Linked DNA regions of Diceros bicornis minor. The protein of the gene in region 2 purifies or fractionates together with the protein of the main gene of each other region. This does not show direct contact. Links are inferred from orthologs where the notes say so. Each region holds a gene or a part of one and is shown on either strand. Other genes may lie near its edges.

What was found.
Region 1: the proteins of ERBB4 (region 2) and WWOX purify together in Homo sapiens (affinity purification with western blotting; 4 studies listed by BioGRID). This does not show direct contact. The link is inferred for Diceros bicornis minor from reciprocal best matches to the Homo sapiens genes ERBB4 and WWOX.
Region 3: the proteins of ERBB4 (region 2) and signal transducer and activator of transcription 5A purify together in Homo sapiens (affinity purification with western blotting; 3 studies listed by BioGRID, with this or other methods). This does not show direct contact. The link is inferred for Diceros bicornis minor from reciprocal best matches to the Homo sapiens genes ERBB4 and STAT5A.

The regions. Positions count from the first base shown.
Region 1 is NC_080771.1:28,083,699-28,091,688, reverse strand, and holds the start of WWOX (WW domain-containing oxidoreductase), read right to left. Parts: upstream 3,003-7,990; 5' UTR 2,764-3,002; coding exon 2,657-2,763; intron 1-2,656. UniProt on the Homo sapiens protein: Putative oxidoreductase. Acts as a tumor suppressor and plays a role in apoptosis. Required for normal bone development. May function synergistically with p53/TP53 to control genotoxic stress-induced cell death.
Region 2 is NC_080776.1:3,746,180-3,753,651, forward strand, and holds the start of ERBB4 (receptor tyrosine-protein kinase erbB-4), read right to left. Parts: upstream 3,082-7,472; 5' UTR 3,007-3,081; coding exon 2,925-3,006; intron 1-2,924. UniProt on the Homo sapiens protein: Tyrosine-protein kinase that plays an essential role as cell surface receptor for neuregulins and EGF family members and regulates development of the heart, the central nervous system and the mammary gland, gene transcription, cell proliferation, differentiation, migration and apoptosis.
Region 3 is NC_080757.1:41,440,026-41,447,342, reverse strand, and holds the start of signal transducer and activator of transcription 5A, read right to left. Parts: upstream 3,096-7,317; 5' UTR 3,000-3,095; intron 2,200-2,999; 5' UTR 2,190-2,199; coding exon 2,062-2,189; intron 1,722-2,061; coding exon 1,565-1,721; intron 426-1,564; coding exon 336-425; intron 1-335. UniProt on the Homo sapiens protein: Carries out a dual function: signal transduction and activation of transcription. Mediates cellular responses to the cytokine KITLG/SCF and other growth factors. Mediates cellular responses to ERBB4.

The DNA.
Region 1 (7,990 bases), on a different chromosome or scaffold from region 2:
GAAGGGTCATCTTCTGAAAGCCCACTAGCTAAGCTTCCCAAACCCCAAGAGGACAAGTGGCCCTTCCAGAGTTAGGAGGGAAAAGAAGGGCCAGGATGCTTGCAGGTCAGGAGAGATCAAGGAAGACTGCTGGGAATCCAGGGACAGGATCTATCAGAGGCACCCTTCAGCTCCAAGAGCCAAAGAACAGAGGGCCAGCGGGACTGGAGAGAGGTGCCCCCAGATGGGAGCCAGCCAGGCCTTGTCACTACAGTCAGTGTAAACAGTGGGGCCAGACAGGCCAGTTTGAGACATCAAACACTGGTGGGGGGAGCTTTCTGGAGACGATATATGCATTACTGAGTCCCCCGGCCATGGGCTCCTCAGACGCTCTCAGAGGAGCTGGCTGGGGTGTGCAGACCTTATTTAGTGGAGGAACAGCCCCAAGCCCAGACTCTGGACACCATGCCGGAAGGAAGCAGGTGAGAAAGGTGGTACAACATAAGGTGCAGAGGGGACAAGGCAAGGCGAGCCGGCACAGGGAGCCTCCAGACCTAACGCCAGGCTCCAAGCAAACCTGAAGGGAAGCCAGGGAGCCTCCGGGGCAAGTGGCCTGAACAAGGAAAGGCCCCAGAGAGTGGGAGGCAGAGAAGGGCTCCAATAGCCAGGAAGTGGGTCATGTGCATCTTTGTGTTCCCGGGGCTGAGTGTGCCTCCTGCCCATGGAGGCCACAGTAAACCTTCACTAGATGAGCTAATATACTCATTCCACGTGGATTTATTCTACGGCTCCCGGGCACTAAGCAACCAGTGAACAAGAAAAGGTCGCCACCCTCATGAAGTTTACAATCCAAGGGGGAGAGAGAGCCGCAAACCAGGAAGAGCATGGCTAAGATAAGTACAGACAAGACAACAGGCGGTGGGTGAGGGGTGCGCGGTGGGGTGCGGGGTGGGGGGGTGGGGGTGCCAGGGAAGCTCTCCCGGGCTGTGACGTTTAAGCTCAGCTCCCAGGGATGACAAAGCTCTTCACGCAAAGATCTCCAGGCAGAGGGAAGAACAAGGGCCCATTCAGGAGCTGCCCGGAGCCCGCATCAGCCTAAGGGCTCCCTGCCCAGTTGTCCCTTCAATTCTCCAGAGCAGAAATCATCTTTCTAGACACAAACCTCCTCACTCCCTGGCTCCAAACCTTCAGGAGACTCCTGGGTCGTGACGACAGACCCTAGCTCCTCCAGGAGGCGGAAGGGCCTCCGTAAACTGCGTCCTTCCTCCCCTGCCTCAGTCTTCACGGTCCCGCACCGCCACACAGGCCACGCCTGGGGCCTCTGCTCTGTTTCCTCTACCTGGGGCCCTCCTGCCCCCTTGACCTGCCCACCTCAATTGCTGCTCTAAGGCACACCTCACGTGCCAGGCCTCCCAGGCCACCTCACCCACCCACCCACTCGCTGCATGCACCCACTACACACGCTGCACCGGGACCACCTACTATGTGTCACTCTTCCCGATAAGTCTGGACACTCATTAAGGGTGACAACTGGGTCTTATCCATCTCAGTATAACCAGCGCCCAGCAAAGAGCCTGATACGTGATAAGATCCCAATGTGTCTTGAATGAATGAACTCACCAGGTCTTTTTTTTTCTGTTTTTCTTTCTACCAAGCCACCAAGCGCAGCAGTGGTTCACACCCTTGGGTAGATGAGACCCCTGGGAAGATCTTACAACATACCATTGGGGGGAGGGGGACCAATTAAATGAGACTCTCTAGAGGTGTGACCCAGGAAAAGATATTTTTTAAGTTTCCCAGATGTTGAAAATCCCTGATTTACATCCATGTTCCTCAAAGCCAAGTGATAACCAGCCTCATCTGAAAAACTTAAAAAATACACATTCTGCACATTGGGTGTCTGCTGTGTGAGGGTCTCTGTGAAGACCTGAAATCTGTATTTATGACAGTCCCCAGGCAATCCAAATATCAGGCCTAGGAGGTGCTGTCACAGCTGCAGAAACAGCGGGACAGGTTAATAGTGATTGAGCATAGAGTACTTATTAGACCTGTGCTAAATGCTTTATGTACAGAGCCTGAACCAAACCTCCATCAACCCATTTTACAGATGGGAAAACTGAGCGTTCTTTCATTGGTCCCAGGTCACAGAGTAAGTGATAGGAGAAAGGGTCTGCTGGTGTTTCCAAAACTTTCCCAGAAACTATTGTGAAGCCATACTTTATATATATATACAACACACACACACACATATATATATATACACACAGAGCTATATTAGAACATCTGTTAAAAATACATACTCCTAGGTCCCCACCCCAGACCCTTAAGGAGGGAGCTGGACAACCGCATTTTTGTTCTGATTTTTTGGTGGGAGGGGATAAGGCTGCTTTGCTATCACTGCACCGTGCAGCGCCGCCTCCTGAACAGCAGAGGGCGCGCCAGAGCGCTGCCAGGCGACCCCGGCTTGACCCACGGCCCAGAGGGGCCGGGACCCTGGGAGCCTTCCCTCTGAAGCTCTTTAACCATCACCGCCGCTTCGCCCGCCCTCGCCAGCCTGGAGCGCAGGCCCGCGCCCCTCCCCGCGCAAGTGGCGGCCGACGGCAGCGCAAGGTCCAGGCACGTGAGGCCAGGTTCCAGGTGCGTTCCAGGCCCGGGGGCCCCCCTGCCGCCCCCTTACTTGGCATAATAAACCCAGCCGTCCTTGGTGGTTCTCTGCTCCCAGCCCGGGGGCAGCTCGTCCTCGCTGTCCGTGTCGTCCAGGCCCGCGTACTGCAGGGCTGCCATGGCGGCAAAGCTCGGACGCTCGCTCGCTCGCCCGCCCGCTGCCGGGTCTCGGCGCCTAGGAACTCACTCCCGCTTCAACCGAGCGCCGCGCGTCGGGATCCAAACGCTCGCGCCTGCGCACTACGCCGCCCAGAGCCGCTCAGCCCACTCGGTAGCCGTAATCCAGTCTCCGGAGTTTCACAGCTTCCAGCGTAAAAAGGGGCGGGGCCTGAGAAAGACGGCGGTGAAAGCGCCGAGGAGGCCGCACTGCCACTCGGCTGGAAGTAAAACCCGGGGAACGTTGTGTGACTCTGCAGATGGAGCTGAGCTTCGTCAAGCTCCCCGCCTCAGGGAAGGGGCGTGGGCATCCAGTCACGGTCCTGGACTCCGCCTGTTGCTGGGCGACCTGTAATCACTTCCGCATTGTTCTGCCCAATCAGGCAGGCGCTCCAGCAACGGGGCATCCTGGGAAATGTGGTCTAGGCCCCGCCCGACCAGACCGTGGAGCAGAGACGGGAAATGCTGATACTGGTTTTATGGGCTCTAGTCTCTGCTTCTTTTAGGGCATTATGAATAGTGAACGTTTCTGCTCAAACACCTTGCGGAGCTTCCCACCACGAAGGATGATTCCCAAACTTTGTTGTGCTTGGAAACACAACGTTATAAAACGTGCAGAACGTTAAAAATGCAAATTCCCGCACGTTCTGATGACCCAGTCTTGAAGAAGTTTCTCCTAGCCTCAGCATAGTTCTGTTGATGATAAAGGACTAACGTTTATAGAGCGCTTAATTCTGGGCCAGGAATTCCTAGACTCTCTCTTTCAAGTACTGGGCACCTCTGTGAAGTGTGGAATTAGAGGAAAGCAGAGCAGGGGAATAACTGGCAGTTGAGACCCTATTGCTGTATTACAGTTGTTTATGTCTGCGTGCTCCCGACTAAACTGACAGAGAACCACATCTATGCTTCTTTCCGTTTTTTTTATTTTTATTTATTTTTTTGTGAGGAAGATCAGCCCTGAGCTAACATCCATGCCAATCCTCTTTTTGCTGAGGAAGACTGGCCCTGGGCTAACATCCATGCCCATCTTCCTCCACTTTTTGTGGGACGCTGCCACAGCATGGCTTGGCAAGTGGTGCGTCATTGTGTGCTGGGGATCCCAAACCAGGTGGCCAGCAATAGAGCACGCGCACTTAACCGCTATGCCAGGAGGCAGGCCCTATGCTTCTTTCTATGGCTAGCAGTTAGTAAAATGCCTAGACTTACAAGTTTATTGAATGAAGTGAATAAACAAATGAGTGCATGAATGTGATTCCTTAGGTTTGGCCCTCTATAAATCAACGTAGTTCAAAACAAAATTCCCGGTTTGCAAGGTGGCCTCTCTTAAGTCCTCTTGGAGAACCTACAATTATCCTATAAACATCCTGTGTCAAAAACCAGAAGCCTATCTTCAACTTGGCCTTGCCTAAGAAGTTTTCCAGAACATTCCCTGCTTGGAGCTTGCTCCCCCAGCTCAGCATTACAGGGAAATCTACTGACGGTGATTTCTGCTGCCTAGGTCTCAGAAGAATGCAAGCCTCCATCAGCAACATTACATATTTTAAAAGGTTGGGGATGGGGGGCAATGCTGCTTTTTGTCTTCTTCAAGTCCTGAAATTTATATTGCTTTGGGATTCCCACTCTGCATGCTCTTTTTTTGTGTGTGTGTGTGAGGAAGATCAGCCCTGAGCTAACATCCATGCTAATCCTCCTCTTTTTGCTGAGGAAGACTGGCTCTGAGCTAACATCTATTGCCAATCCTCCTCCTTTTTCTTTTTTTCCCCCCAAAGCCCCAGTAGATAGTTGTATGTCATAGTTCCACATCCTTCTAGTTGCTGTATGTGGGACGCGGCCTCAGCGTGGCCAGAGAAGCAATGCGTAGGTGTGCGCCGGGGATCTGAACCCCTGGCCGCCAGTTGCGGAGCATGTGCACTTAACTGGTAAGCCATGGGGCCGCCCCCCATTCTGCATGCTCTTGAGGGGAGACACTCACTTTCCTTTGAAGTTGCCCAACCAAAAGCTAGCTTAACAAAAGCATGTTTTAGTTAACAGGCCCATTATCCCACCTCAGACCTTTGGTATTATCACTCTTTCCAAATCCATGTGCATTTAAATAAGCTACCATTAATTTGCTGCTCTTCTGCTCACCTTGGCTTAATCCTTTGCCCGTCACCAAAGCCAACTTATTCCTTTGATATGAATAGGAAATTAGGTCACGAAGTCCCCTAATGGTGAGGAGGAGGATGAATGGAGTCAAACTGATTAGCCTCAGTTTCTCCGATCATTATCCGTAGCCTCTGCTCGGCTTCTCAAGGATTGACTGCTTAGATTTATCTTGGGTTGCCCTCACCAGAGCCTCTACTGGCACCTGTTGCCTGTGACTTGGCATCAGGCCACAGGTAGTGATATAGTATGGTGTCTTCCTCAGACTGGGTAGTGGTCTCCTTGAAAGAATTCTCAACTTCTGGGTCAGCCCTCTGCTATTCCTACCACTTTCACAATTCCCTCCAGGGCTTCTCAACCTCAGCACTCCTGACATCTGGGGCCAGATAATTCTTTGTTGAAGGGGACTGTCCCGTGCGTTGTAGGATGTCTAGCAGCATCTCTGGCCTCTACCTACTAGATGCCAGTAATGTCCCCCTCCCCCAGCTGTAACAACCAAAAATGTCTCCAGATGTTGCCAGTTCTGCCCCTACCTGAGAACCACTGATCCACAATGACAGTGAGTCAGGTGATTACTAACTCATGAATCAAACACTGATATGGATTTAATTAAGGCAGTGAAGAGCCCGTTTCTGGCCAGAGATTCACAAGGTGGTACTCAGACCCTGCTGGTTCTGATCACCAAGTTCTCTAAGGCTGTCTGAGGGCACTGCCTCTCCAATTCCTAGTCCCTCCGCAGGTGAGAGACATGGGCTGACAGAAGTCTGGCTGGGTGGCCCAGACACAAATAATGGTCCCAAATGGTTATGATGACCTCATTTTATTCCTCTCTCCCTGCATCTTATCCGTGGCCTCTATCAGAAGGTTAAAGACAGGAGACAAACAGGTATTTGGGGATTCATGAGAGTAGGCATGCCAGATTCTAGGATTCATAGTCTTTTGGCTTCATTAAAACTGACACAGTTTTAGTTTTGCTTATTCGATTGCAAGCAACAGAGGTTCATTCAAAAGTTTATGACCAGGGTGCACCTGAGCTAAATTAGGATGTTATCGGGACCTGAGAGAGCCCAAGGACAGCCCATTTCTTTGTCTCTGGTAGGTTTCCTGTCTCTTGCTCCTTCCTCTTTGCTCACATGCTATGTTGTTCTGCTCTCCCCTTACTGGCTTCCTCTAGTCGTAGTTTCTGCTTCTCTTGGACTTGAGCTTGCTCGTGGCTTTGACTTTGGTCTGACAAGGATATATCAAAGGGAGAGCCCTGTTTAGCTTATAAGATTATTATGGGTTTGAGGAGCCTTAAATTTGGCAATGAGCCAGGGTCCTCGACAGGTAACCCTAAGAAAACCTAAAGAATGGTTTGTTTTTGTAAAGCCAGCTGAATCACATTGTGATTAGTGAGGAAGTTAAAATAAAACATCTCAATGTGTGGTAATACAACCACACAGCAGATGGCCCTGTCTGCCCACGATTTTAAAGGCTAAAGCCAATTCCTGAGAAGGATTTCTGCATTTGTTCTTACTGATTGCTCACTTCTGCAATAACTGACGTTATGATGACAAGATTTGATCAGCTTTTGCTGAAAGCAGTTTGGCCTTACACGTGCAGCGGGCACAAGTTTGAGTGTAACGTTCCTGGAGCCACGTTTCTTTAGTTCATTGTCGTTACTGCAATGATGGTCATTTCCCTCCCCTACATGCGCACAAACACGCCAACAATTCTGCACAACCTGCTTCAACTTAAGTCATCATTCTTTGGGAAATTAAGCCTCATGTTTTGATGCCAAACTCAATATGCTAATGAGACCTGGGAAGCTTCTGTCTCTTCTAATAAACTTCTCATGGGAGGTAACCAATAAGGAAGAATATTGAACAGGAGTCGAGGCAAAACTCTTTCTGGTCAATGCGGCCTTACATAGGGAGGTACGTTTGTATTTTACTTATTCATTCAAACACACAAATGAAAAAAAATTATGCTATGTCTCTGAGAGAAACCAAGAAAAACGAAACACACCCTGTAGCCAGAAATCAATTAGGATAAAACCAACAGACACACAAAGAACTCTGGCTTGAGGGTTCTAAAAGACGTTCGAACTAAGACCTATAGGTCTGCAGAGATGGAGAGAGTTTTGGGGAGGGTTTCCTGTAATTTATCTTTGGAACCCAATTCAGCTAATGTCACTTACAAGCTGTGTGTGACAGTGGCCAAGTCCCTTAACTTTCCTTATTCCATTATTATCAGTCCACTTTTTACAGATGAGGAAGCTGGAGCACAAGGAATCTAAGTAATTTGCCCAAGGTCACTGGGTGAGCAAGAGCCAGCAGGAGCTGAGATTAGAATCCAAATAAGGGCATTAGCCCCAGATTCCTGCTCTCAGCCAACTGCCCTGTGAGCTGCCTTTCCAGGTCAGGGGGTCCCCAGTGCTGGTCCTCAGATGGATGCCAAGAGGTTTTCACTCCTCCATGGGAAAGTGAGAAAAATAAGATAAAAGAAATGAATTTTTCATAATGCTAAATATGTTCCACTTAAATATATTACTATCCTTTTATTTTCTATGAGATGACATCTGTCCTTTTATTTTCTGGCGATCTATTTTTTTCCTTTTTCCCAACATGTTTTATTATGAAATTTTCAAACATCCAGAAAAGTTGAGAGAAGAGTACAATGAATGTCTATCTCCCCCCCGCCACGACCACACACACACCTAGATGTAACAATTGATATATTTCTGCCATATTTGCTTTAAAGAGAAAGAATCTGTTGTGTGGGCTGAACCATTTGAAAGTGAATTGCTGACATGAAGGCAGTCGACCCCTGAATACTCCAACAGCTGTCTCCTAAGAATGAGGACATTTTTTTCCATATCCCCAATATCAATGTCACACCTAAGAAAATTAATATTTCCATTACATCATCTACTTGTACTCAAACTGTCATTTTGGATTTTTTTAAATTAAGATAGAATTTGCTTACCATAAAATGCACCACCCTTTAAAAATGTAAAAGTCAATGGTTTTTAATATTTTTACAGAGTTGTGTAACTACTATGTAATTT
Region 2 (7,472 bases):
TTCCAATACAAAGGTGAGATTGATTATTTTTCAATCACTCCAGGAAGACAGAAATTTTGGAACTAGTCCTTTTGGTGGTAAAGTCTTTATAATTGTCATTATAAAGGGCCTTTGGCTATAATATTTCTAGATAAAATGAATCACTAGAAATGAGACAAACTGCTTCAGAATTACTAAAAGATCATCTTCTCTAAAGCTGATTTTTTTCCAAACAAAAGAAGAAAAAATCAAAACAGGTCCTCTTCCTTTACAATTATTTTAAGAAATATCTTAGATCTAGACAACAGAATCCCCCCTATATTTTTATTCTGTTCACATAGAGCAGTAAATAAGGTGCATTCCTTCTGCTTAAGAAATTAGCATTTCAAAAATATGCCACTTTCCCCTGAACTCCAAGCGTGTCTAATAATGCGAGAAGCAGATTGTCTTCCCTCGTTTCCTTAATTTGTTTCATCTAAAAGCAATTCACTCAACATCTTGTCGCCCTCTGGCAGCTTAGTTTACTTATCCGCACTTAATTTCTCATTTGGACCAAAACAAACTCCTGCAAACTGCTACTGACTGCTAACCGCGAGAGGGGAGACACGCAATATGTATTTACTTGGGAACATACAGACACACAAACACAGCCACACACACACACACAGAGCCTCACTCATACACCAGACAGTCACTTGGTTTTATAAAAGCACAACATTAAAACCCGCGGAACTTCCCCCGCCAGGTGCCGGGGTTGGGGCGGGGTAGGAGTGGGTAGGATGAAAAAAGAAGTCCCCGGGGGCGTTTACAGTTTGCAGCGGATCTCCTTAGCCTGCGAGCTGCAGTTACACCAGGGATGCGCGCGAGAGCTCTTCGTTGTGCGGCCCTTTCATCTAGATCACTTTGTGTTTGGAACCAGGGAGGCTCGCCTTTGTGCCCCCAGAATTTCAAGTGCACAGCCACACACGGGACAACAATGGCACGCTAATCCTCGCGCTCTAAATGGGCTCAATTGTGGGTCTGACAATTCGCGGGGGGAAGCGAGGAGAGACGAGCGAGGGCGCGAGCCGGTGTCGCCTGAGACGAGGAAGGGGACAGCTGCAGAACTAATTTGGATTACATCCCTCGCAGAAATTCTGAAAAGGGCTTTTCGGCATAGCTCAACCTCGAGCCGCACAGTTAAGCCCAAATTGCTGCGGACTCGGAGCCGGGTCCCCCAGCGGCTGAGGCTGAACCAGACAGCCCCCAGTAGGTCGCCTCGTAGAAATTCCTCTCGGCTAAGCCTGCCTGTCAGTCGCCGCTGCTTTTGAATGGGTCAATGTGCATAATCAACCCATTGAGGGCAAATATGAAGGGACCCGGGGTAGGGAGGGGGATAAAAAGGGATGTAGCTAAGAGGCCGCTTGGAATCTCGAGTCCGTGTTGGTGTCAGTCCGGAGGTGGCCGGAGCGCGGGACCCGGTATGCATGAAGAATTTCGGGGTAATTGGGAGGGTGCAAACGGCCAGAACAGACAGCGCGCATTGTGCCATTCGAAGGTCATTCTGAAAGACTCGGTGATTGTAACTTGTTATTTACTAGGCAAGGAGGGGGCGGCGGCGGCGGGGGCGGAGCGGCGAACTACAGCGCGCTGTTTTCTTGGTGAGGTCAGCAGGACACCCTCCGGGGGCCTGAAGCTCTCCTATCTACACTCCCGGGAGCTTTATCTCCCCTAGCTGCCTCCCACGCTCCCGCGACCAGCCCTGGATGGCTCCGGAAATCTCTCTGGCTCTCCAAAAGGCCCCCCTGGCCGCGTGAGACACCGCTTCTCCTCCGTCCTTTCCTGTCCCACGTTCATCCCCAGGAAACTCAAGTGTCAGAAACTTGGAGCTCCCTCGCACTGCAGGCGCTATCACTAGCCCTGCGCGGCGCGGAGCGCCGGCCCCACTGCGCTGCCTCCCCGGGGTCAACTGGCCGTCTGCCTGTCCGGGTCACCGGCGCGCAGGCTCTCCAGCAAACAGTGGCCGCGCACCCGGCGCAGCCACGCCCGCCTGGGGTTCAATCCATCCGCGCGACGGGTCGGCTCGGCAGCCACGCCGGGCAGTAAACAGAGAAGTTGGAGGGACTCCGGCCAATAGCAAGTTGAACTACAGGAAGAACTCTTCCTGGTGCCAAACACAGCAACCGACGGGAAGGCCGGGCTCCCGGCTCAAGTATGTCAAGCCTTTTTTTTTTTTTTTTTAAGGAGTCAGGCGGCCAAGCCAGCTCCCCTCCAGTCAACGGGGCGAGGGCTGCGGGACGCCGGCCGAGGAGGCCCAGAGTTCCGGGCCCCCGGCCGAGGCGCGCGCGCCGGCCCGCCCGCCGCGCTCCAGCTGCCCAGGCTGGGCTCAAGTCGGGTCTGACCCCGCAAGGCTCGGGCGACTGGGGGCGCGGTGGCCGCCGGCAGCACACACAGGTGCAAAGCCCGGCTCTCGGAGCTCCTCTCCCCACAGCCCTCGCGCTCCTAAGCAGCCCAGCCGGCAGCGCCCCGGGACCCCGTCCGTCGCGGCCCTGGCAGTGCGCGCCTCTCCGAGGCTTCTCCCTCCGGGGGCGCAGACGGGGAGCGGACCGTCTCCCCTGACTCGGGATTCGGGTCTCCCACGTCCTGCACAAGCGCGCCCAGAGAGATTCCGCTTAGGCTCATAGAAAACGCGCCAGAAAGAAGGGGGTTCGGGGGAGAGAAAAAGGGAGAGGGGCGCAGAGGGATTTTTCACGATCCATAAAACACACGCACAGACAGAGGGTAAGTTTGGGGACAGAAAGAGGGGCGAACGAAAGCCCCAGGATGAGGCCCCGGTGGAGTGGTCCCTCCGCGCCCGGGAGCGAGCGGGTCTCAGGCTGGGCGAAGGGGGCGCGGGCGCTACCATCGCGGCCAAGCCGGCGGCAGCAGGTTCCACCCCGGGAGCGCGACAGGGAACCGCGACCCACCTGACTGAGAAGCGCTGGGCTGGACGGTCCCCGCCGCCACGAGAAGGCTCCCCCAGACCCACAGTCCTGTCGCCAGCTTCATTTTTTGGACGTCTCAGATCCCGTGCTGACAATTACATGTCCAAATGGCATATCCCCTTTCGGGCACGCGGAGGAGAGCCCGCAGCCAGGCGCGCGTGGGGGCGCAAGGGGGACAGGCGCGCGTGGGGGCGCAAGGGGGACCGGCTCCGAGCGGGGACGCCCGGTCCGCGGGTCCGGGGCCGGGGCCCCGAGGAGAGGAGAGTGTGCGCGCGCGTGGGAGGGTGCCCGAGTGTGTGCGCGGGGCGCTCCGGGCCGGACTGTGCAGCTATTCCCCGTGTGAGCCTTCGCTGTCTCGCTCCCTCCTCACTTTCTCTCTCTCACTGGTTGGTCCACGATAAAAAGGAAGGGGGAAAAAGGTTTCCAAAAAAAGTTGATTGCAAAGAGGCGGTAGGTTTCCGGCCTCTCCCCCCAGCCGCGCTATGTTCGGCTCCCTTTGCAGTGTCCCTGCACCTCCAGTCCAAATTGGGAGGGAAGGGGGGGGGAAGCGTCCTGCTTCTCCCCCGATCCCGTCCTCCTTTTCCCTGTCAGCTTGCCTCACGCTTGTCCGGCGGCTGCGGTAATTAAAGCTCCGAGCGTCACTTCCAACGCTCCGCGGTCTCCAGCTGCAGCCCCACAGAGAAATTAATAAGGCTCCGGCAGAAAAAAAAGGGGGAGGGGGCGGACAAAACCACCCTCACGCAGCCAGCCTGGCTCGGCTCGGCCGCGCAAACCCCGCCCCCGCTCTGACCCAACTAGCCACGCCCTTTCGCCCGCCCCCCCAAAGGGAAATCTTATTGGCTCAGCCACTCCCCAAAATCCTCGGCCTCAGGAGTTGGGAAAACACCTGTCAGGGAGCCGGAGGGGGGGGGGTGTGGGGGCGGAGAAGCCGGATTTAAAGGGCTCACCCGAGGCCACAGACTGAAACAGAGGCCCGGGACAGCTGGCCCGTGGAGCGCGCGGACCACACGAGGGATGCTTGCAGAAAAGATCTTTTTTAAACAAGAAAGTCACCATTTTTTCGTATTGCCCCACGGTGCTCATCCACAGACTGGATTTTCCCTAGAAATAGAAGAAAAGACAACGTTGCTTCCGGCTAAAAGCCTCCCCCCAACTCTCTACCCGCACCCTCCCATTCTCTACGCTCAGAGAGTAGTTTAAAAGCCGATTCAGTGACTGTTAGCCTCTGCAGATTGGAAGTCCGGATCCCTTTTCTCAGCCTCGCCGGCTCTCCCAGTATTCCCACCATTCCAAACTGACCAACACTGCGTCAGCTGAAAACTCCGCATTTGTAGAGCTGCATCCTTTGATTTTAGACTTGATGAGTCTTTTCACCTTTTCCTTGGACTCGAGGACGACTTGGTTTGGGGTTCATTCTCATTAAGTAGATTCTAGTCCAAACCTACTGATTTGGTTCTAAAGAGCTAGAAATTGTCCCAGGCCTGAGCTATTCAGTCTGAAAGGATTAAGAAGCCCATGTCAGGGATAACCAACCTCAGATGATTAGGCTTCCTCGACAGCGGACCCAGCTCTAGGCTCCTTCCAGGTTTTCACTCTGCAAGGTCACCGCTCCCCAAGCCCCAGGTCATTGCTAGCTGTGGGAGTTTCCGGGTTCTTCTGGATCTAAAATATCCTGGGATTGGGTCATATCTGTGTACATATCCCTCGCCTTTTACAGCTCTGGAACTGTACCCTGGGCAGAGGCCAGAACCTCCTGGGAGGTTGTAGGTTATTGGTTTGCTATTTGCACAGGCATTCTTTGTATGGATTATTTTCCTTTTTCAGTTTCTCTAGAAGCAGCAAATATATAAATGAAGAGTATCAGGGGAACTTAAAAATCAAGCCACCTGCCTCCTCACCCATCATTTGAGACCTTCCCCTTCCTCCTCCACATCTTTTATCTATAGCCTTGTCCCTTAAGAATTTCCAGGAGCTGAGCACAGGGAGAAAAAACAGCCTCTTTCCAGAAGCCCGAAGCCTTCCCTTTCTTAGGCCCACAGCTAGCAGCAGGCACAGAGAGGAGGCCAAACAGGTTGAGCATGCTGTTTTACCCAGAAGCAGCCTTGGGCCAGGAGAAGCTAAGCCTAGAGCAGGTGATGGTGACTTCACCAGAGTGGTACTGATTGCAGCAGAACTGTGCACACTGCTCTTTGGGATTATCTTTGTTTTCTATTTTTATCACCTCGACTCTCTGTTTTCTTTTCTTTCATTCCATTTCTTCTCAGCATCCTTGTCTCAAATCCCCTTCTACTACTTTTAATGAATTTCAGACACCTCTCTTCCATGAAAGCTTCTTCTTTTTAAAATTTCCATTCTGTCCCCAGAATAACAACTTAAGCGATTCAGGATTAAGTTTCTGTATCAAAAAGAGAAGTCTTGTTTCTGATAACAATTATGTTGCAAGAAGTGAAGAAATAGATTGTGTACTTTAACTTAAAGTTGAGGGAAACATTAAATACTCTGAATATGTTGAGTTTTTTAAAATATATTTGTGTCTGTCGTGATAGCTTTTACTCCTCCACGAATTTTATGGCGATTTTGTTGCTATAAAATTGTGGCAGGAGGGGCTGGCCCAACTGCTTCGGCAGCCCGGGGTTTGCAGGTTCGGATCCCGGGCACAGACTGACACACCACTCACCGAGCCATGCTATGGCGGCGTCCCATATAAAGTAGAGGAAGATGGGCACGGATGTTAGCACAGGGCCAATCTTCCTCAGCAAAAAAGAGGAGGATTGGCAATAGATGTTAGCTCAGGGCTAATCTTCCTCACAGACAAAAAGTAAATAAATAAAAAATAAAATAAATAAAATTTTGTCAGAAACTCTCCTATACACTTTGATCCCATTTTCCTGGTTTTAACTGATTGAAACAATGATTAATACCTGGCCAAATTTGGGTATCTGAGCTGCAGCCTATAAAATGAATTGGCAAGAAAGCTCTATGCCCAAAAAGCATCCTATATTCAATGGTGACTGGTCTACCCAAGCAGAGTCTAGTTCAAATAATTTGAATATGAGACCCTAGAGACTTAGACAGAAGGTGGTATTCTGTGGGGGCAAACTGGAAGTGAAAACATAGAAGCCATGAGCTAGAGTCAAGAATTAATTCTTTTTGTGTTTGCTCCCATTTGCTTCCCAACATCTAAGGAGGGGACATTTGCCACCTGATGTGGAAAGCACATGCTAACTGGATTGCTAGAGGATTTCTGAGATGGGTCTCTGTATTTCTTCATTTTCCTATCGATCTTTATAATAGATCCCCATCAGTTGAGTTAACTAAAATATGTTGCTGTTATTTGCAACCTGGAAAAAAACACATCTAGTAACCCATCATGTTACTTAGCAAACCGTAGGTGAATATCTGGAATTATCTGCTCAGTACCCCTTTTCTAGGAACTGTCCTTCCCTCAGTTGTACATCTTTAACTTGGGTCTGCCTCCATGGTACAACAATCCCCACTCCCTTGTTCTAAGTTGGACCAATCAAAATGCCTTCATCACTGATGATTGGTTGAGAGATGGTCATTTCTGCTCAGTATCTTCCCTGGGATTTTTGTGCATGGGAAAGAAAGAGTTCATATTCTTTCATTCACTGGTAGCTTTTGAGATCTAAAAGTCCGGAGTTGGCCTGTCTATATTTCCTTCTTTGTAGGGATAACCAGGCTGCGGTGAGAAAGAGTGAAGCTGCCATTTGAAAGGAGCCAAAGCCCAGGAAGGTCTGGAAAAATACTCAAGCTGTTCCTGTTGCTTAGTTGTTCAAACCCCGTTTTTCCTTAAGCTAGTTCAATTTTTGTTTTTGAAACCAGAACTCCTGAAATGGTAAAAGAACTTCTGAAACCAGAACAGCGTGAAGTGGTAAAAGAACTTCTCCAGCCTGAGTGAGCTCATAGAGACCATCACGCCCCTTGAGGAGGATGTCTTGATATGGCCCATGTTCAGTTTCCCTTCCCAGTTTCTCATGACTTCCCTTGGCTGAAGCCAGAACCCCAACAAAGAGATTCCTTTGGCCTTTGCTGCTTCCCCATATCTCCTTCTCCACTTCATTTCTTCCATTAGTGGTAGAATTCAAAGAGAGTCTTGACATCATGAGTGACAGAATGCTACTGGTGAGAGAAAGGAACACATTGATCTCAGAGTTCAATGTTGAGTTGGACACTTAACTTTGCCCAGAGTCTGATAGCTCACTTCAATCTCCTGCTTGTTTCTAAGACTTCCCTAAAGGTAAGATTAGAGCTTGCTGCTTTAGACATTTTGTCATTGGCCATAAGTATAAATTTCCGATAAATATCAACTAAGAAAAGAAAACAACACCCTATTGTAAATCAGTTATCTTCTCCTGAACATTTTAAAATAAATACAGGATTCTAATTTTCCCTCCCTGTCCATCATGATCTCCCTCGTCATCTTTCTAAGTTATCTTGTGATCATGAGAAACTTACTTCATATACCTACACCCATTGCCTTGTCTTTAAAGGAAGGGATTGTTATGTCCC
Region 3 (7,317 bases), on a different chromosome or scaffold from region 2:
TCACAATAACTCCATAAGGTAGATACTATTACTATCCCCATTTACAATAGAAAAAACAGAGGCTCAGAGAGGTTAAGTAACTTGCTCAAGTCACACAGTTATTAAGTGGTAGAGCCAGGGACTGAAGCCAGGGGGTCACTCTACACCTGCATGTAATATTGCCTCTTACACATGCCCATTGTCCACGTCCACGTCCATGTCCATTACACACATGTTCATGTCTCTCAGCTCTTTGGTGCTCTCTCCTGCCTGTCTTTATAAAACACAGTTGTCTGGAGAGAAAGGCATATGGAAGAACTTCCCAACTTCTCTCCCCATACCCATGGGACACTCACATTGTTGGCTTCTTGGACCAGCCTCTGTTCATTGTATAGAATATGCCGGATGCAGCGGACCAGGTCCATGGGGCAGCGATCATACGTGTTCTGAAAGAATCCAACAGCAGCTACCAGTGGCCGCCCTCTGCAGTGCCATGCCCACCCCGCCCTCCCCTCTAGCCCCTGCCTCAGCTTTCCCAGGGAAGCCTCAGGAACTGTCACCAGTTGCCTCTATCTCTCTTTGACTCGTTTCCCCTCCCAGATCTTCACATTGGGTTTTCAGGGCATTAGAAACCCACAGTTTACAAACACTTCCAATCTACCATCTCCTTTGAGTTTCACAGCATAGAAATCCTATGACATAAGCAGAAACTATTATCCCCATTTCACAGATGAGAAAACTGATGCTCAGAGAGGTTAAGTACTTGTCTAGAGGCAAACAAATGAGTGAGCAGATGACTCAGGACTCAGGGCATCTAATGCCAAGGTCAAGGTACTTTCCACCATACTCCTGCCCTGGGTTCCTATTTTGCTTCCCTCTTGCCCCCAGGTTTCTCCTGTTTCCTCCTTCTTCTGGGATGGACTTTATTTCCCTGGCACCCTGCTGCTTGTATTTAAGAAGGGTTTTCTGAGAAATACAAGTGAGTTCCAAATGCTTGACTGCTTGACTATGATTACCACCCACACCCCTTTCCTGCTTTGCAAAAACTTCCTCTCTCCCTATACTCCTTCTCCTCACCTTCCACGTGAAGGAGAAACTAAATGTTACATCTAAACCCTGAATTCAAGGTTCATTTATCCAGCTCTCGCCTCCAGGGCACTTCTGCTCCTCTCCCGCCCCAGTTCAGCAGCTCTCCTACCTTTAGAAGAGTCCCAAGAGGGATGACTCGTTGCCTCATTCTCTCATTTCTAGAACCTGTCAGTCTTCCTTTCTCTAACAAAGGAATCTTGACTACTTCCAGCCCTCCTGCTTGATCTGCTTGATCTGTCCCAAATGGCATTTCACCCATCCCCCTTCTCTTGGGGACAAACACGCCCCACCCCTTGCCTCATAATATGCTAAAGGAATCTGACAGGTCTGATTTAGAAAGAGGGGGTGGGGGAAATTGAAGCACAGAAAAGTTGCCGATAAGCTCAGGGTCACATGGTGAGTCAGTGGCCAAGCCAGGAAAAAACCCAGGGGTTCTGATGCTGGAAAGAGAAGGCGGACACTGCTTCCCTGCAGATGGCTCCGAGCGCACACCCACCTGCAGCTGCGTGGCATAGTGCCCCAGCTTGATCTTCAGTAAAAACCCATCTTCCCCCACTTGGTGCTCCGCCTTCTTCTGCAGCTCCTGCACCAGGCCCTCCAGGAGCTGGGTGGCCTGAGCTTGGTCCTGGGGATTGTCCAGGTCGATGGCATCCCTTGGGGCAGGGCAGTGGGAGAAGCCTACTGTGGCACTTCCTCGGGCAAGCAGGTCAAGCGCCACGAGGGACATGGAAATCCCAGGCTCCTGACTAAGGGCGCTCCAGAGCCCACAAGACTTGTTCCCGGCATCTCCACAGGCATCACAGTCTAGCAACATCCCCTCTCCCCTCCCAGGGTCCCATTTCTCTCTTCCCCTTTCCCAGGGACACCGCCCCTTCCGCACAAAGAGGAATAGACAGGACCAGAATCACACCAAACCACAAAGGGGAGACCTAAAAGCCAAGGGGCCTGGATGGTAGGGACCCGCAGAGGAAGGCGCAGGGCAGGGGCACCTACCAGGGCTGGCTCTCGATCCACTGCGCTAAGTAATGCCGGACCTCGATGGGGAAGTGCTGCCCGTACAGCACCTGCATCTGGCGCAGCGCATCTCCCTGCAGCTGCTGGGCCTGGATCCAGCCCGCCATGTCCGTTCACCTAGGGCGAGTACAGAGCTGAAGAGGCCCCTCCTCGTCTCCTCGGCAGAGGCGAGGGCTGGGCCTGCCCGTGGCCCTGCCATGCCCACCCATCCCTGGACCGCGGTCAGGCCATGCCCCTCCCCTCCTACAGACACGCTTTCCTGTGCGGGAAGAAAGATGGGGGGGGCTGCCCTTCCCTCCAACAAGGAACCTGCTGAGGCTTGGGGAGGGGCTCTCAAAAGTCAGGTGCCCTCCGCCTCTTCCTCTCCCCTAGCCCCACTGGGGCTTCCCCAGAGGGGGGACAGCTGGAAACTGAAAGAGAAACTTGGCAGAGGCCCACGGGCCCTCTGGGGAGGGCTACAAGAATCCCCCCTACCCTGCCTGGAACCCCGACTCCCAATTTCTGGGAAGGAGGGATAATCTAGCCCAAAGTTAGGGCAACGCCACCGACGGCTCCCACTGGACGACTCATCCCCGCGGGCACGTGTCTGGGGTTGTTAGAAAAGAGGGCTGGGGAGACAGACGCTCTCCCTCTCCTCGGCTGCCCCCCCAGCTGTGCCCCATGGTCTCCCACTGTTGATCCCAACAGCGCCCCCTGCCCACTGCGGGCGAGGACGGCGCCCACCCTCGGCCCCCTCCCTCCATCCGCGTCCCTCGTTCCTGGTCCGCGCTGCACGCTGCGCCGAAACTCCCTCTCGGTCCCGGGACGGTCCCCTGCACCCCGCCCAGCCGTCGGGCTTCGGGTCCCGGGGGCCAGGGCAGGAGTCGAGTGCCCCCTCGCCGCGCGCGCCGCCCGGGACGCGCTGCCGGGCCACCCACCTGGTCGCGCCGAGCCGTCCGGCGGCGGGACCGGCTCTCCGCCCCTCGGCTCTCGCTCCCGGCCCGGGCTGCTGGCGGCGGCGGCGGCGGCTGTTACTACAGGAAGGAGCAGAGAGCAGCGATTTCCTCCTCAAAGGTCAGCTGCCTCCGATAGACCAAACACAGCGCGCGAGCTTTCGCCAACACCCCTCCCAGCCGCTGTCGCTCCCTCCCTGCCTCCGCCCTCGGTCGCTGGCTCCCCGGCGAGTGCGCAGCGGCGGCCGCGGCCGGCCCCGGGGTGGCCAGGCTGGGTGGCGCTGGGCGTGGGGACTGCCCCGACGGCGGGCTCCCCCGGGAGTCCCAGCGGCCTGCGGCCCGGGACTGTGGCGGGCCAGAGGCGCAGGGGTGGCCGGAGGACGGGGGTGGCAGAGCCGGGAAATCCCGGGTTCTGGAAATCCCAAACCAGGGCCTCAGTTTTCTCATCTGTAAAAAGGGAGGAGGCAAGGGCTAGACTAGCTGGATATCCTTCCAGTTCTGGCGCTTGTCATCTATTGAGTCTCTAGATTAAAAGAGTAAATGTGTGTGCGCGTGTGTGTTTATGTGGGTTGGGGACACAGCTTTTGTGACCTCAGAGGCAAAGCCATAGGGAGGGGAAAGACTGAAGATTCCAGAGAAGCCAGCTCGCTCCCAGGGCCCCAGCTCCCCTCCTTCCATTACTCCCACCACCGTGCACTCACCCAACCTCCTGAAATTTTGCAAATAAGCAACAGAAGTCCAGAGAGGGGAAGGGGCTTGCCGAGAGTCACACTGTGGCACATGGCCTAGTCAGCAGAGTATGATCCATAAATGACCCTGCCGCTTTGTTCACCCAGCCCAGTCACATCTGAGGCCGGTCCTACCTTCAGAAAGGTCCAGGGAGGGCTATCTTGAATCCTCACAAGCTCACGACTGCCTATGGGCCTTGCCAGAGCAGGGAACACCCTCCCTGAGCCTTTCCTGGGTCACAGCCCCCTCACTGACAGCCTGCAGGGCCTGCGGTGTTGGGCAAGGCCAGACTGGAAGCTTTCCATCCCCTTTGCCCAGCTTCCCTCTCCTCTGGGCCTCCCCTCTGCCTGGCAGCTGGTATTGGCAGCACAAATGGAGGAGACAGCCTGGCTGCTCACTCAAGGCCCAGCTGGGCTGAGACCATGTGTCCTGGGGGGAATCATTTTCCTCTTCCTCCCTCCCTCCCTAATGCCTTCTTGGATCTGCCCCTTTCTCTCCATTCCCTCCCCCCATCCACTCCCCTACCTTCCTTGCCCCTCACTACCTCCCCCACTTTCATTCTTTTTACCTCAGAGAAAAACTGAAGTTTAAAGCTGCAGAAGCTGGAATGTGTGGGTCCTCCCCCCCCACTGCCATGTGTGGTCACAGTCTCTTAGTTGGCAGGATCATGAGGAAAGGAATTGAAAACCATAAGGGGGTTTGCAAAGGACTGGGGAAACCTTGCTCCTTAGGTGTTCTGCAGGGGAGCCCTAGGGAGGAGAGAGCACACCTCTCCCACCCTCCCTTCTTCCTCCACTCTGTGCAGTGGATTTGGCAGGGGAGGGTGAGACACACAGAGCTAGGGGGTCACCTGGGATGAGAGTCAAGTGTCAGAGTTGGAAATAACTGTAAAGATGATTTTACAAATGGGGAAACAGAGGGTGGAGAGAGAAAGTACCTTGGCCAGTGTCACAAAGCCTGTCAGTGGCAGATCCAAACCCACTGCCACATGGTGGGTGGGTCTGACTTGGCACCTGTGCCCTCCAACCTCTCACTTCCAGCAGGTAAGTCAGTCGGTGGGAGAAATTCCTTGGGTTTCCTCTGAGCCACGTCTGGAGGGCAGAGGAGCACCGATGCCATGCACTCACATCTGGGCATCTGGAGAGGGTGATATGGGGGTGCCGGCTCCAGAGTGGGGACCCTGCCTGCTCACTTCCAGGCAGCCAACTTTCCAGCCTCTTCCCCGGGGCCTGCAGGGGCCTGCTGCTCCAGTGGGCAGCCCCACCCACCAAACATCTGGCTGGGTTGGGCTGGGCTGGGCTGGGCTGGGCTGGGCTGGGCTAGGGCGGGGGTAGTCCTGGGTCCTAAAATGCTAGCATTGAGGTGCCAGTGAACAAAACTGGAGGGCTTGGCCTAAAAGGACGTGCCCTAGGGCCTGCTAAGCCCTCACATGCCCCCCCACCCCCCCACCCCCGCCTTGTGTCCAGTGGCTACCGCTCTTCCCCACCGACCTCGGGCTCTTTCCCCATTTGGCCTCCCTGGCCAGGAGGCCCTGAAGCCCAGCGTCCTTCTTTGCGTGTTTCCTCCTCTTGCTTTTTGATTCTCTTCCTCCTTTTGATTCTTTCTGTCCAGGTCTCTGTCTGGTTCTGGGTTTCTCTCCATTTCTTTGGGCCTCTGTGCCCCCTTTTAGATGCCGGGAGAGGGGGAGGAGCTTTGGAGCTTTCCCAGGATGAGCAGAAGCCACCCAAGGGAGCGGAGGAGGGAAAGGTGTCAGAGCTGGGTTGGGGGCAGAGGTGGCTGTGGTCACAGCTCCGGATAACACAACTACCCGGAAATGTCAAATTTGGGGTTTCTTTTTGCTTTCAGCCCCCTGGTTTGGTCTCTGCTATTTCCCACCACAAAGCACCCTGGTGGTTTTAGAGGCCCAGACTATGGAGGAGAAAACTGAGGCCTAGGATGTGGGGTTCAGGAAGATCAGAAACTGCCTAGCGTCCAGACTGAGCTGGGGTCGCAGGCTGGCCTCCCCTAACAGCCCCTCATTTGCAATTTCAAGTCGCAGCATTACATGGGGAATGAGGAAGGATTAAAAAAATCTTATGGGAATACATTCCCCCAAAGAAGACTGACCATATTTTATTGGGAATAATAATAATCCCTAGTCTAGTTTGTAGTAGCACACCATGCACACATCCTGAACTGAATCATGGCACATTCATGCACAAACATGGCTGTATTCTTCAACTCAACCCATCCTTGCAACAACCTTGAAGGTGAGCAGGGCCAGAATCATCCCTTGTGATTACGCCAGGGAAGAGACCTGTCCACAGCTGGCACCAGGATCCAAGTTGCCTGGCCCTATGGGCAGGGTCTCAGTACAGTTGTGTGTCACTTAACAACAGTGACACACTCTGAGACATGCTTCATTAAACAATTTTGTCGTTGGGTGAACATCACAGAGTGTACTTACATAAACCTAGATGGTATGGCCTGCTACACACCTGGGCTATATGGTACTAATCTTATGGGACCACCATCATATATTCAGTCCATTTTTGACTCTAACGATGTTGTGTGGCACATGGCTGTACAGCCTTTCTCAACTTCCCAAAACCCCAGCACACCCTCAGAGTGAAGGTGTCTCCTTTGGCTGGGCTAGCCCATAATTGTTCTGTGGCGCGGAGCATGGCGCCTCCATTTCCATGCCAGTCCATGCCCCTGCTCTGTTGAATGAGGCAGAGTGACCTGTGTGTTACATGAAGGTGGGTTCGAGTTTATGGAGGAAGAGAAGAATTATCTCAAGTCCTGTTTCTGGCCTGACCTTGGAGACAGGGTTAGCTGAGAAGGCCCTGCAGATGCCCCTACCCTGAGGAGAACAGACTGAGGTCACCTTGACCTAACCGTCCCTGGGGGCAAAGGGAGGTGGTACAGAGATGCCTTTGTTTCCTCTGCTCCTAGTCCTTTCTTCAAGGAGAGTTCCTGTTGTGCAGGAGCCAGAGGGGAGGTGGGGTGGGGGTGCAGAGCCTTCCCAAGAAAGCTGGAGGTGTTCCAGGAAGTATCTGCGCTGGGGAGAGCTGAAGCCCTCGGGCTGTTAGATGTCCTGCCTCACCCCCACCTTGCCTTTGCTGGGATTGCCCACCTCCACTCCAGCCCCCACCCCCGAAGCTCCTGGAAGTCTATGCTCAGTGTATATCACACCCCCAAGATCAAGGTCTCTGCCTCTCGCGGAGTCTCCTCTTCCTAGTACCTCCCTGTAGAAACGCTGTCCCGACGCTTGTCTGTGAAGACAGAGCAGGATGTAGGGAGGGTGTGCATGCGTGTGGTGAGGAATTCCATGTGAATTGCGGGGAGGGGAAGGAGCTGCTGGGTCCCAGGTGAAGCCTGTCCACCCTTCCTGCCTCTGTCCTTTGTCCTCTGCCACTCTTCAGGGAAGTCAGTTTACAGTGAAGTCACCAAGAGAACACAAGGCCATCCAGCCTGAGGCATAGTGACTGTCCTCTGTTTCTGGGAATAGAGTGAGGGGAGGGGTGCGGGACTGACAGGGTGAGCGGGAGGGGGAATCCTGCCTGCCTTTGCCCAGCAGCCCTGTCCTTCAGCC